Canis lupus familiaris: one gene and its partners. The protein of the gene in region 3 interacts with the protein of the main gene of each other region in a biochemical or structural test. Links are inferred from orthologs where the notes say so. Each region holds a gene or a part of one and is shown on either strand. Other genes may lie near its edges.

What was found.
Region 1: the proteins of RXRA (region 3) and NRIP1 form a complex in vitro, tested with the Homo sapiens proteins (2 studies listed by BioGRID). The link is inferred for Canis lupus familiaris from reciprocal best matches to the Homo sapiens genes RXRA and NRIP1.
Region 2: the proteins of RXRA (region 3) and TRIM24 form a complex in vitro, tested with the Homo sapiens proteins (3 studies listed by BioGRID). The link is inferred for Canis lupus familiaris from reciprocal best matches to the Homo sapiens genes RXRA and TRIM24.

Annotation. Positions count from the first base shown.
Region 1 is NC_049252.1:12,290,392-12,294,037, forward strand, and holds part of NRIP1 (nuclear receptor-interacting protein 1), read right to left. Parts: intron 1,461-3,646; 5' UTR 1,118-1,460; coding exon 1-1,117. UniProt on the Homo sapiens protein: Modulates transcriptional activation by steroid receptors such as NR3C1, NR3C2 and ESR1. Also modulates transcriptional repression by nuclear hormone receptors.
Region 2 is NC_049237.1:9,918,931-9,922,676, forward strand, and holds the start of TRIM24 (transcription intermediary factor 1-alpha), read right to left. Parts: upstream 2,619-3,746; coding exon 2,249-2,618; intron 1-2,248. UniProt on the Homo sapiens protein: Transcriptional coactivator that interacts with numerous nuclear receptors and coactivators and modulates the transcription of target genes.
Region 3 is NC_049230.1:50,607,593-50,611,238, reverse strand, and holds part of RXRA (retinoic acid receptor RXR-alpha), read right to left. Parts: coding exon 3,427-3,646; intron 1-3,426. UniProt on the Homo sapiens protein: Receptor for retinoic acid that acts as a transcription factor.

The DNA of each region.
Region 1 (3,646 bases), on a different chromosome or scaffold from region 3:
CAGCTTGTTTTAGATGGTTTCTTTCCAGTGAGTTCTTATAGCCTGCATTTTTGGGGGAAGAAGGAACAACACCCATCGGGTTCTGAAACGCTGTATTTTTGCTCGCCATTAGCTTGCTCGATGATGTTCTCGCCTGACCATTGAGATGGCTTGACATTCCTTTTGAGAGCTGGAAACTGCCAACCTCCTTCTGGCCATTTTCTTGTAATCTGGCCATGGCGGCAAGTCTTTCACTTGCTGCCTGATTCGCATTTTGCGTTTTTAAAGCGTGTTCTCGAGAATACTGCTGCAAATGGGCTTCACTTGAAAGGAGTAACGCTAACTGGCTACAAGCAACACTAGGTTTGGGTGAAGTGGCTGGACTAGCCCTCTTTTCCACCATGCTTGCAACAGCCTGTAACCTGGCAGCACATGACAACGGTTCGCTCATGACTTTTGTTCCACTTTGTCCAACATGATGTGGTGACTCTACGAACCTGTCTCTGATGAGGTTTTTACTTACGTCAGGAAGATTGGTATCAGGCTTTTGATCTTTAGCTTTACTTTTCTTCAACAAAGTTTTTAAGTGACTTGATGCAACACCATAGCACCTTAAATCTTTCTCCACTTTTAAAGAATCATGACCGAGTGCATATCCTTGCTCCTTGAGGCTCTGCCTAATTTGTTGCGACAGAGCAACGGTCTGCAGCCTGGAGCTGAATGACTGAAGCAAAGAGGCCAGTAATGTGCTATCTTGTTTGCCTTTAGGCACATTGTCAACCATGCCAGCCAGCAAAGCTTCCTTCTTCACGTTTAAATTTACGATGGAATCAGACAGCCTCTTCCGCTTCGCGGCATTCCAGTCCTCAGAAGACTGCAAGAGCCTGGCTTTTTTGAGGTGCAGCATGCCAGATCCCTGATATGAATGTGTATTGAGAACTGGACCATTACTTTGACAGGCGGGAAATGCATTACCAGAAATGTTAAAGTTCTGATCTTCTTCATTATGCCCAGCAGACTTTTTGTCAACGGCAGTACCTGAGCCCTCTGCTGCCTGATGCATTAGTAATCCTTCTAGGTAAGTTAAAACAATAGAATCCTGGTGCACATCAGAGCCAAGCTCTTCTCCATGAGTCATGTTCAATAGAAGTGTTCACAAGGGCTTGGTTTCTATTCACGTTAAAGAATGGTTTTCTGTGGGTGAGTGAGATGTAATTTTAATAAGTGAGTGTCAGTTTATCACCTTCCATAGTCATCAGACAGAGATGCACGGTTACATTCCAACCAGGGTTCCCTGTGACAAGAGGAAAGGCAGGCAGATTCCAAAGTAGTTTGACCACAGAGCTGATCAACTCCACAAGAAGCAGCAGCAGAATTCCTTAATACACAGGTCTGCGGCGGCGGGCGGATAGAATCCTTAGTGAATACACTGCTTCTCCTTCTTCATCTTTTGTTTCCAATTAAATGCCAACAGCGGTGTTCTGAAAATAAAAATAAAAAAGTTAAGAAGAGGCATAACTAATATTATGTTACGATACCAAGAAGCAAAAGAATCTAGTATTTGTAAGTCTATATATGTGTGTGCGTATATGTATGTAAAACATAACGTACATACGTATATATGCATTATAGCCACCTCTTTAGTAACATAGTTTGCCATTCCTATTAAATTGGAAATCGCTACCGGAAGTCCTATAAATTAACCCATATTGTTAAAGTGATCAAATCAATTAAAGAAAATACTTTGGTGTTATATAACTGTCTTCCAAAGCACACCGAGTTTCTGAATTTTCGTGGAGATGGGAGGGAGGGAGAAGGGAGGTGAGGGATGAGGGCGGGAGGGAGGGAGGGGGAGGGAGGAGGGAGGGAGGGAGGGAGGGGATGGAGTGAGGGAGGATTGAGGATGGTGGATGAGAGGAGGGAGGGGAGAGAGAGATAAGGAAGAAAGAAAGAAAGGGGAGGCAGGATGGATGGAGGGATTGGAGTGAGGGAGAGGAGGGAGGGAGGGAGGGGATGGAGGAGGGAGGGAGAGGGAGGGAGGAGGGAGGGTAGGGTGAGAGGATGGGAGGTCTGATTGGAGGTAGTTAGTCTGGAGGGATGGATGGAGGGATGGGGAGGGGAGGGATGGAGGGAGGTAGGGAGTAGTGAGGAGGTAGAGGGAGGGAGGGAGTGAGAGCTCTCTCTCTCGCCTCCTTACCTTCCCTTTTATTCCTCTTTCTTTTTCTTTTCTTTCTTTCTTTCTTTTTTAGCTTCTTCTTTATTTCTTTATTTCTTCTTTTTTCTTCTCTTCCTTTCTTTATTCTCTTTCTTTTCTTTCTTTCTTTTTCTTTCTTCTTTCTTTTCTTCTTTATTTTTTCTTTCTTTCTTTCTTTCTTTTTTTTTTTTTTTGAGTTTCTGAATTTTCATGAGCACTTTCCACATAGTAACAATAAGGATGCTAAGTCTCTTTTATAGTGACATAGCTCTATATGGGAGCTAGAATTAGCTTTCTTACATTACTGGGAGCTTATGAAGGAAAAAGTAAAAGTGCAGAAAAAAAAAAGAGAGAGATGCACATGACATGGACTCATGTGATGAGCTAGATGCAGGGTTGAATACTACAGATTAGGTTCACTTCTGACATCGTTCTTGAAACATTACATATTCCATAAGTAATCCGTGGGATTTCTGTTTTTAAAGAAATGGAAGCACTGACAAGTATCTTGTAGGCCTATGCAAAGTGTGACAGTCTTAGTCATATTCATAAATACTGAAGTATAATCACAGGCTTCATTTTTATCATGACCTATTGGAAACAGAAGAGAGTGATTCTCTAGATGCTCATCAAGTCTATCAGAGGCTTAATGTATCCATTTTTAAATCTTCACTCATTTGCTGTATGTAGAACTTTTAATGTGTGGTCCATTCCTAACAGAAGCAGAAGACAGGTTACAGGTGAACCCGTAACTCTGTTTCTAAGGTGTTCCTCACAGAAAATACTCCTTTTCCCCACCCATGCTATTTCTTTTTGTGTGACTTCGCTATTATAAGTATAAATAAATTCAAATATTATACATGATTTGAAAAAGTTTTATAAGGTTTTAAAATAAAAATCATTAATTTAGAAAAATGTGTCAAGGTACTTGTACCAATTTCTTAGTTCAGAAAATGTGGTTTCTGGGACACTTGGGTGGCTCAGTAGGTTAAGTGCCTGTCTTTGGCTCAGGTCAGGATCCCAGCGTCCTGGGATCGAGCCCTGCATTGGGCTCCCTGCTCAGCGGGGAGCGTGCTTCTCCATCTCCCTTGCTTGTGCTCTCTTGCTTTCTGTCAAATAAATAAATAAAATCTTAAAAAAAAAATGTAGTTACTATAATATGTGTAAATGTAACTGTGTACACAATAGGTAATCACATCATCCTGTAGAAAAGTGGGCAGGAAATAAATTTAGGATAGATTTGAAGGGAAGATGAATAATTGCTTTCAGAAAATTCTAAGTCAATGTGGTTATTTTTCATTAATTTTTTTTTAAATTGTATAAACATCACCATTATGAAACAGGGAGGAAGACCTTCTAATAGAAACCTATTTTTTAATAAGATGAATCTGTAAATCAAAGAGTATTTCCTGAGATGCTGCTTCCAGAAGCACTCAGTTGTAATACCTTCCATCGTTCTAGCAAAAAATGAAA
Region 2 (3,746 bases), on a different chromosome or scaffold from region 3:
CCCACAAGTTCATTAGGAGAATGAAGAACAGAGATGGTGAAATGAACCCTATTTATTTATGAAATGTGCTGGCTAAAGTTTTATCTCAGCTAGTATTAGAGTAAGTTCACAAGGAGAGGGACGAAGAACATTCAAGTTAATAAGATTCAGGATAGGTAGTATTTTTAATTTATAGAAAATGACCCTCTTTTTTAACAGTGTATTTAAAGAATCATTTGTTAGAGACCATTACCTTCCAATTTATATGCTTTCTTGAACTCTTGCTGGTAATACAAACACCAAGATAAAATATATTTAGACTAGAATCGCATTGAACATTTTGAGAAATCTGGAACTTAAAACCTGTCTCAGAGTTTAGTTTCAGAGCATTTATTCCCCCTGTTCTCATTCATTCCGGTCTGAATATCATGGCCAGGCACACGATAAACCTTAATTCTAGAATTACGCAAAATTCAGATCCTGATTGGCTACTAGCCTATTTAACCAATTAAAATGCAAATAAAAGAGACCTTAGACTGTGTCTAAACATTAAGAACTAGGATTTGTTTCACCTGTACTGAATTTCCAACAGGTGGGCCACATGAGAGAAAACAAGAGTGAAAGATCAGAGACTTCAGCCTATTTGCAAGCTAGCTTACCATGGTAGAAGGCAGACTCATGGGTGAGAGACCAGGGACGTTTATTAGCTACTCACAATAATAACGTAGGCCAAAGCTAACATAAACCGAAGCATCGACATTTTTGCTCTCCTTCCCGGAACCCCAGTTCCCACCAGGCAAGGTCAAAGGGCCAGCTGACACCTGCACAGGCAATGGATTGTGTTACACCAGAGGAAACCTAAGCTTAGAGCACCCCAATCTTGTATCGTGGGTACTAAGCATGCCTGTCTTTAACTCCAGTGGACATCACACTGGACCACACGCACGCCTGCTCTTTGCTCTGGTGGAAGACACAATCTCTATCTTCCAAGGCTGATCCTTATACAAACATCTTTCAAAAACAGAAACAAAGGGCAGTCACAGTACCTCCCTGGCACGACCTGCAGAAACTGAGAGACCGCTGGAAAACTGGCTCCCTAGGCCAGATACTGTTCCAAACACAGAATCAAATGCAGAGTCTAACACTACTGTCTGTCTATAGCACCGATTTCATATACCCCTTAACATAGGCTCAATTACTTAATTAGCATTTTATCTCAAACTTAATCAACCAGACCCTCTGAAAGTATACATCAAAACGAATCATCAAAAAAAAAAAGAATCATTCCCTTTCTAATTACTTTCTATTTTTAAAAAGGAGGTAGGTGCTCCCGAATCCGCAAAGTCGCAATTTACAATCCTCATTCTCCTAGGATGCTTACTGCGCTTACTCTGACTCACTTTTTAAAGGTCTCAAACCTGTTAACGCTCGCAATGGGAACGACCTGTCGAAAGTCTCATTACCCAGTAACAAATGCACCACCAAAGAGAACAGCAACGTCCTCATTACCCAGCTGTCGTCTACAAAATACAAGAAAACCCTGCGGGCCGCCCGCCCCCCCCCCCCCAAAAAAAATCACTCCCTTCTATTTCTCTTTACCCTTTACCGTTGCGAAAGAAAACCTTCCAATGCAAACACACACACACACACAACCACATACCGTCTCTCTGGGTCCCTCCGTCCCGGCAGAAGGGAGAGAAATCGGGGAGACGCGTCAAAGAAGCCGAAACATACGTGCAGGACAGAAAACAGCATCCGGATCTGCCACGCGTCTCCCCGAAGAAAAGTCCCCGTCGCTTCGTCTTCACCCACCGCCCACCACCCCCGGCTCAAATGACGTGGGTCCGAACCGGGTGATGAGGGCCGCACCGACCGGGACAAAGCTCCGGGGGAGGCAGAGGGCAGAGCAGTGAGCCGGACGCAGCGGGCCAAGCAGCCGAGCGACGCGGCGCAGCCCGCTCCAGCCCAGGTTTCCAGAGTGCGGGGCGCGCTCCTCCAGCCCCGGAGGAGAACGCGGAGCCGCCGCCGCCAAGCCCTCGGCGCCCGGGGAAGTGGCTCGCGGGGCGCGCGGCCGCCGCCGCCGACGCGGACCCTCCTCCTCGCCCCTCCCCCGCCGCGCACCCCCGGCGGCGGCGACGTGACAGCGGGTCGCGCCGCACCCGGGCGCCCGCCTCCTGCCCCGGAGGGGGGCCGCTCCTCAGGCTCCTCGGGCGCCCCGGGCGCCCCGGGCTCCCCTCCCCCCCGCGCGCCCACCTCGGCCGCCTCTCACCTTGGGTGGCGAACGGCGAGGAGCCGCTGACCGGCGAGCCGGGGGCGGGGACGGGCGGCGGGGTCTCGGCCGAGCCCAGCATGGGCGCGGGCAGCATGAGGTAGCGCTGGGGCGCGGGCAGGCAGCGCTGGCAGAAGGAGTGCAGGCAGGGCAGCAGCTTGGGCGCCCGGCTCTGGATGTTCTGGTGGCACACGGCGCAAGTGTCCAACAGGTTGAGCCGGGCCGCCTCGCCTCCCCGCTCCGAGTCGGGGCCCTGCCGACTCTCGGCCTCGTTCTCCCCGCTCGGCGCCGCCAGGGGCCCCCCGGCGGCCGCCGCCGACGCCGCCGAAGCCGCCGCCGCCGTCGCCGCCTTCTCCACAGCCACCTCCATTGTCCTGCCCCCGCCGCCGCCGCCGCCGCCGAAGGGGGAGCACGGTCCCCGCCTGCCGCCGCCCCCGACGACCTCCTCCTCCGCCTCCTCCTCCGCCTCCTCCTCCTCCTCACAGGCCGTTAGGATGACCCGCGGGAGACGGAGGGCCGGAGGGCGGGCCGGGCCGAGGAAGCCTCCTCAGGCCCCGGGGATCCGCCTCCCGGGTGGCGCGGCCGGAAGAAGGGGATCTGTCAGCGGGAACCGTTCCTCGCACCGGGAAGGCTGCGCCCCGTCCGCTTCGCCAACCGCCTCGGCGCTCGTCGAAGGCGCCCAGCCCGCCCTCGCCTCCCCGCCTTTCTGTCCGGGCCCCCCCGCCCTACCCCGCCAGCGCCGGCCCACCTCAGCCTCAGGCCCCGCCCTCCCGCTCCCGGCAACTGAGGCCCCGGCGAGGAGCGCGCCGCCCAATCGCCGCCGCGCCTGGCCAGGGGGCGGGGCCTGCCCAAGCCCGCGAGGCTCCGCCGGCCGCGGCGGGAGGCTGGGAGGTGGGAAGGCGCTTGCCCAGCCCCGCCCCCGCCCCAGCCGCGGCCTCTGATTGGGCCTTGCTGTGCGTGGCGCTCCTCTAGGAAGATCAAGGGATCGTTTGTTAATGACGGACGGACTAATTGGGTCCGCCTGCGTTAGCCCCGCCCACGGGGGGCGGAGCTCCGCCGCCGGGCGCGCAGCGCGGCTAATTAAGTAACTTGCTTGCAGAAGTCTCGGTTTCCTGCTGAGGATCCGGGTCCCCGCAGGTGGGGTGAATACGGCGGGAGGGTCAAAGGATGACCAAGTGGATGGAGACTGTGAAGAGCGAGCAAGCGAGGAATTTTATAGGTGGAGAAACGTGTGGATGGGACGTCGTGGGGGCAGCGTGGGCTTGCCGCCTGAGTTCGCGCCTCGCTCCCGTGAGTGATGGGACCTGATGCGGAAGGACGGATGTTCTCTTGCGCCTTGGAAGTGTTTAAAGAATTCCACCACCACCCCCAGTGAAAAAAAAAGGTGAAATCGATTTCTAAGTCGGCGATTTGCTTTTTAAATGAGGAGAGATAGTTCTGTCTCCGAGACACTAATAGGTTAAGATTGTCAGAAAGTGTTCTTTATTGCATAAATAGG
Region 3 (3,646 bases):
CTATTTGGGAGAAGGCAAGGCGGGGTACGGCTGGAGGTGGGGGCAGGACAGCCCCCTGGACTGTGGGGAGCTGCCCCAGACACAGAAGCCCAGCCAGGACTCCACATGGCTGGATCCACATGGGAGCACCAGGGAGGGAAACTGGACATCTCCCGTTCCGTGCTGGCCCACCCCAGGCTGGGCAGCTAGCGGGCCACCTGCCCTGTCTCCCGCTGCCCATTTGCATGCAGGCCCTTGGGTGCTTGCCCTAGGTAAACCGATGCAGGGCCACAGCAGTGAGGAGGGCTGGCCAGGGCTCCACATGGGAGGGAGCCACAGGCAGGACGGGCAGTCAGTGCTGTGGCTCCTGGTCACGTGCCAGGCACATCCCTGCCCTCCCGGGCCAGGCTTTCCATGGGCACAGCAGTCAGCCAGGGGCCCTGGGAGCCCCAAGGGACCCTGCATTGTGGGAACACAAAGGCTGAGCTGGGGTCCCCACTCACCACAGGCCTGGGCCACCAAGGCAAGGCTGTGAGGGTCAGGGTCACTCTTCCCCTCCCCAGCTCTAAGCAGAGGAGCCTCAGGCTGGGTTCACAGCCCCCAAAACAGCCCAGAATGACTCCTGGGGCCTCATTCTGCCCTGCCCGCACCCCTTCCCAGGGGACTCTGCGGCCCCCCACCTAAGGGGGACTGCTCCCCTGCTGTACCCCACCTCCCCTCTGGGGAGACCCATGGCACCAGCAGCCCCTCACTGGAGCCCGACAACGTGGTATGGCCAGGGTGGGGGCCTGTTCCCATTTCCCCTTTCAGATCCTTGGCATTTATTTCAGTTCCCGCCAGAGCCTACAGGACATACGAAAATAACCACCTGCCTCATCAATGCGCACCGGGGTCTCTGCCGTCTCTCGAGGCTCCTCTCTTCTGCACCCACCACCTCAGGAGGCCCTTCCTCCTGAGCCCACAGCAGGCCCTCCAACCCACGAGGGAGGCCATCACCCACAAACAGAGCTGCACACGAGGGCAGGTCCTCGGCCTCACCGGCCTCACACTGCCATCCAGGCAGGGGCAAACCCTGCGGTGTGCACTCCTTTCACGAGGGAAGCCTTGCTGGGCTGGTGAGGCCTGGACGCAGTGCTGCCCACAGCAGGCTAGGTGGGGCGAGTGGGCTCTGGGACGAGCTGGGGATGCTCCCGGGCCCTGTGCTGATGGAGCCCCCAGACCAGGAAGAGATGCGGGGCAGTGCGGGTACCAGCACCAGGGATCTGGCTCTGTCCAGCCAACACCCCCGGGCAAGGTCAAGTGGGACAGGTGTGGTGTCAACGGCCCTCCCTGGCCATGTGGACTTGAACAGGCAGCACGAGGCAGAGTGCCAGGCCTCCCCCAAGACAGCAGAAGTCTTGTTCCGGCAACCATGACTTCGCGGTTGTGGTTTTGGGGCAGGGGGTGGGGCATGCCCCCCTTTGAACTCCACCCACACTCTTGTGAATATGGGGAACCCTAGGTTTCCAAGACAAGCTGCTGAAGCCCAGAAGCTGCACTCCCTCCAGGAAGGAACTATGGGGCAGGGGGTTGTTCAGGGGAGACACCTACCCGGGAGGGGCAGCCAGAGGAGAGGCTGAGCATGGGGCCTCAGACTGGGGCAAAACTCATTGGGGGCCACCTGACAGATGGACACATGGACAGATGGGCGGCTGAGCGCAGGTCAGGACCATCTGGGACACACTGGGTTTGCACCCCCAGTTCTTGTCCTGACCCCCTCATCAGTTTCAAGGGGCCCAGGGCCCTCTGCACACACAACTTGGGCTCAACCAGCACCCACCAATTGCCAGGAACCTGGCTGTGTGCAGAGAAACACAGAGAATAGGATGGATGTAGTCCTGAAAACTCCTGACTCCCCAGTACCGCCTGCCCCTGCCCCCAGACAGAGAACAGTGCCAAAGGGCAAGTGCCCCCAAGGCTGGAAGGGTATCTCTGCCCTGCCCAGGCTACTGCTATACATGAGCCCTCAGGTCTACGAACAGGCAGCAGGCCTGAGACCAGCAAGGGGCCTGTGGGGCCAAGGGTCAGCAGACACTTGCTTCTGTCACAGTCCCCAGAGGGCAGGGGCACACTCAGTCTCCACCTGCCTCTGCACTCCCTGCATGGCGCTGTACAGCTGGTGAGAATGGGGGTGGGATGGCTGTGTTAAGAACAACCCAGCCAGGCCCAGGAAGACAGCCCAGCCTCCCCTCTGCCAGCACCTCAGGCCTCCTACTACTCTGGGGACCAGGTGACATGAGCAGGGCTCGGGAGCTCTGCACTGATGCCAGAGACCTTAGCTCTTTCACCCTCTCCCTCAACCACAAAGGGGTGACAAGGTCACTCTGGAAAAGCCAGCAAGGTTCTCCCCCAAGGCCAGCTCTAGAGGCCCGGCCAGACGGGCAGCACACTGGCCCCTGCTCAGTGGTATCCCAGTCCTCCTGCACCAGAGCACAGTGGGCTGCCCCGCAGGTGGTGCAGCAGCAGAGGACTCGGACGGCCCTAGGATGAGGCTGACATGGTTAGATGTGTCGCTCTGGGCAGGGAAGCCTGCATTTCAAGTCTCTCCCAGCAGGCTGTCCTGAGGCTCCGTGGAGACATGCACCCAAGGGGCCTTCACATTCTGGGGGAGGAACTCAGAGCTGGAGAGGAGCCCTGCGGATTTCAGGAAGGACAGCTCAACCCCAGAGAGGAAGGTCCCCCTGGGATTCAGGCAGGAAATCCACCAGGAACCACAGGGAGCTGGGGGGTGGGGGCAGCTGCAGGGATCTCCCAGGGATCTCCAGAAAAGTTCAGGACAATGCTGCAAGGGTTTGGACAAGAAGCATAGGAGAGGGTGGACCAGGCCTCCAGAATCCCATCACAAGAACTGGACCAAGCCAGGCCCTGCCAGATACCAGATGCTTCCTGATTCAGAGACAACCCTGAAAGCCAAATTGTTCCAAACACATGACTACGGAAAAGACCACCAAGCCCAACAGATGAGCCGAGGCCACCATGGGGCCGAGAGCCTGGCCCAAGGAGGGGTGCATCTGCATGGAGCCTGGACATAACCCGCCCTAGGATCTGGGCCCCAGGGCACTGAGACCTCCTGATGAGGGTGTGAGCAGAGGGAAAGGCGGTGAAGGGGCACAGGCTCCAGGAGGCAGGTTTAAACCTGAGAAACACTGAGCCCCGCTCTACAGAGCAGGGGGTCACGGGAGCAGGGGGCCCCCCACAGGAGGGGTCCCACTAGGGTAGATGACCAGCTGCAGGGAACTTGGCCGATAACTGAGAGTCGAGCACTGGGGAGTCAGCCAGACCTGGGCTCAAGTTCAGGCTAAAGCCACCTCTCCGAGGTTCTGGTTCCCAGAGACAAAAGGTGGAAAGGACAGCACCTATCCCCCCCACCCGCAGGGCCCACAGGAAGGGCCTTGCCTCTGCACTTACCTGGGGGCTGCCGGTGCCGAAGCCCAGGGTGGGCGTGGTAGGCACCGACATGGAGTGGGGGCCCATGGGGGAGCTGATGACCGAGAAGGGTGGGCCCATGCCGTTGATGGGGGAGCTCAGCGTGCTGATGGGCGAGTGCAGCTGTCCCGGGGAGCCAAGCGAGGAGCCGATGCCAGGCCCCAGAGAGGGGTGCAGCGAGGGGGCGGCCATGGAGCCACGC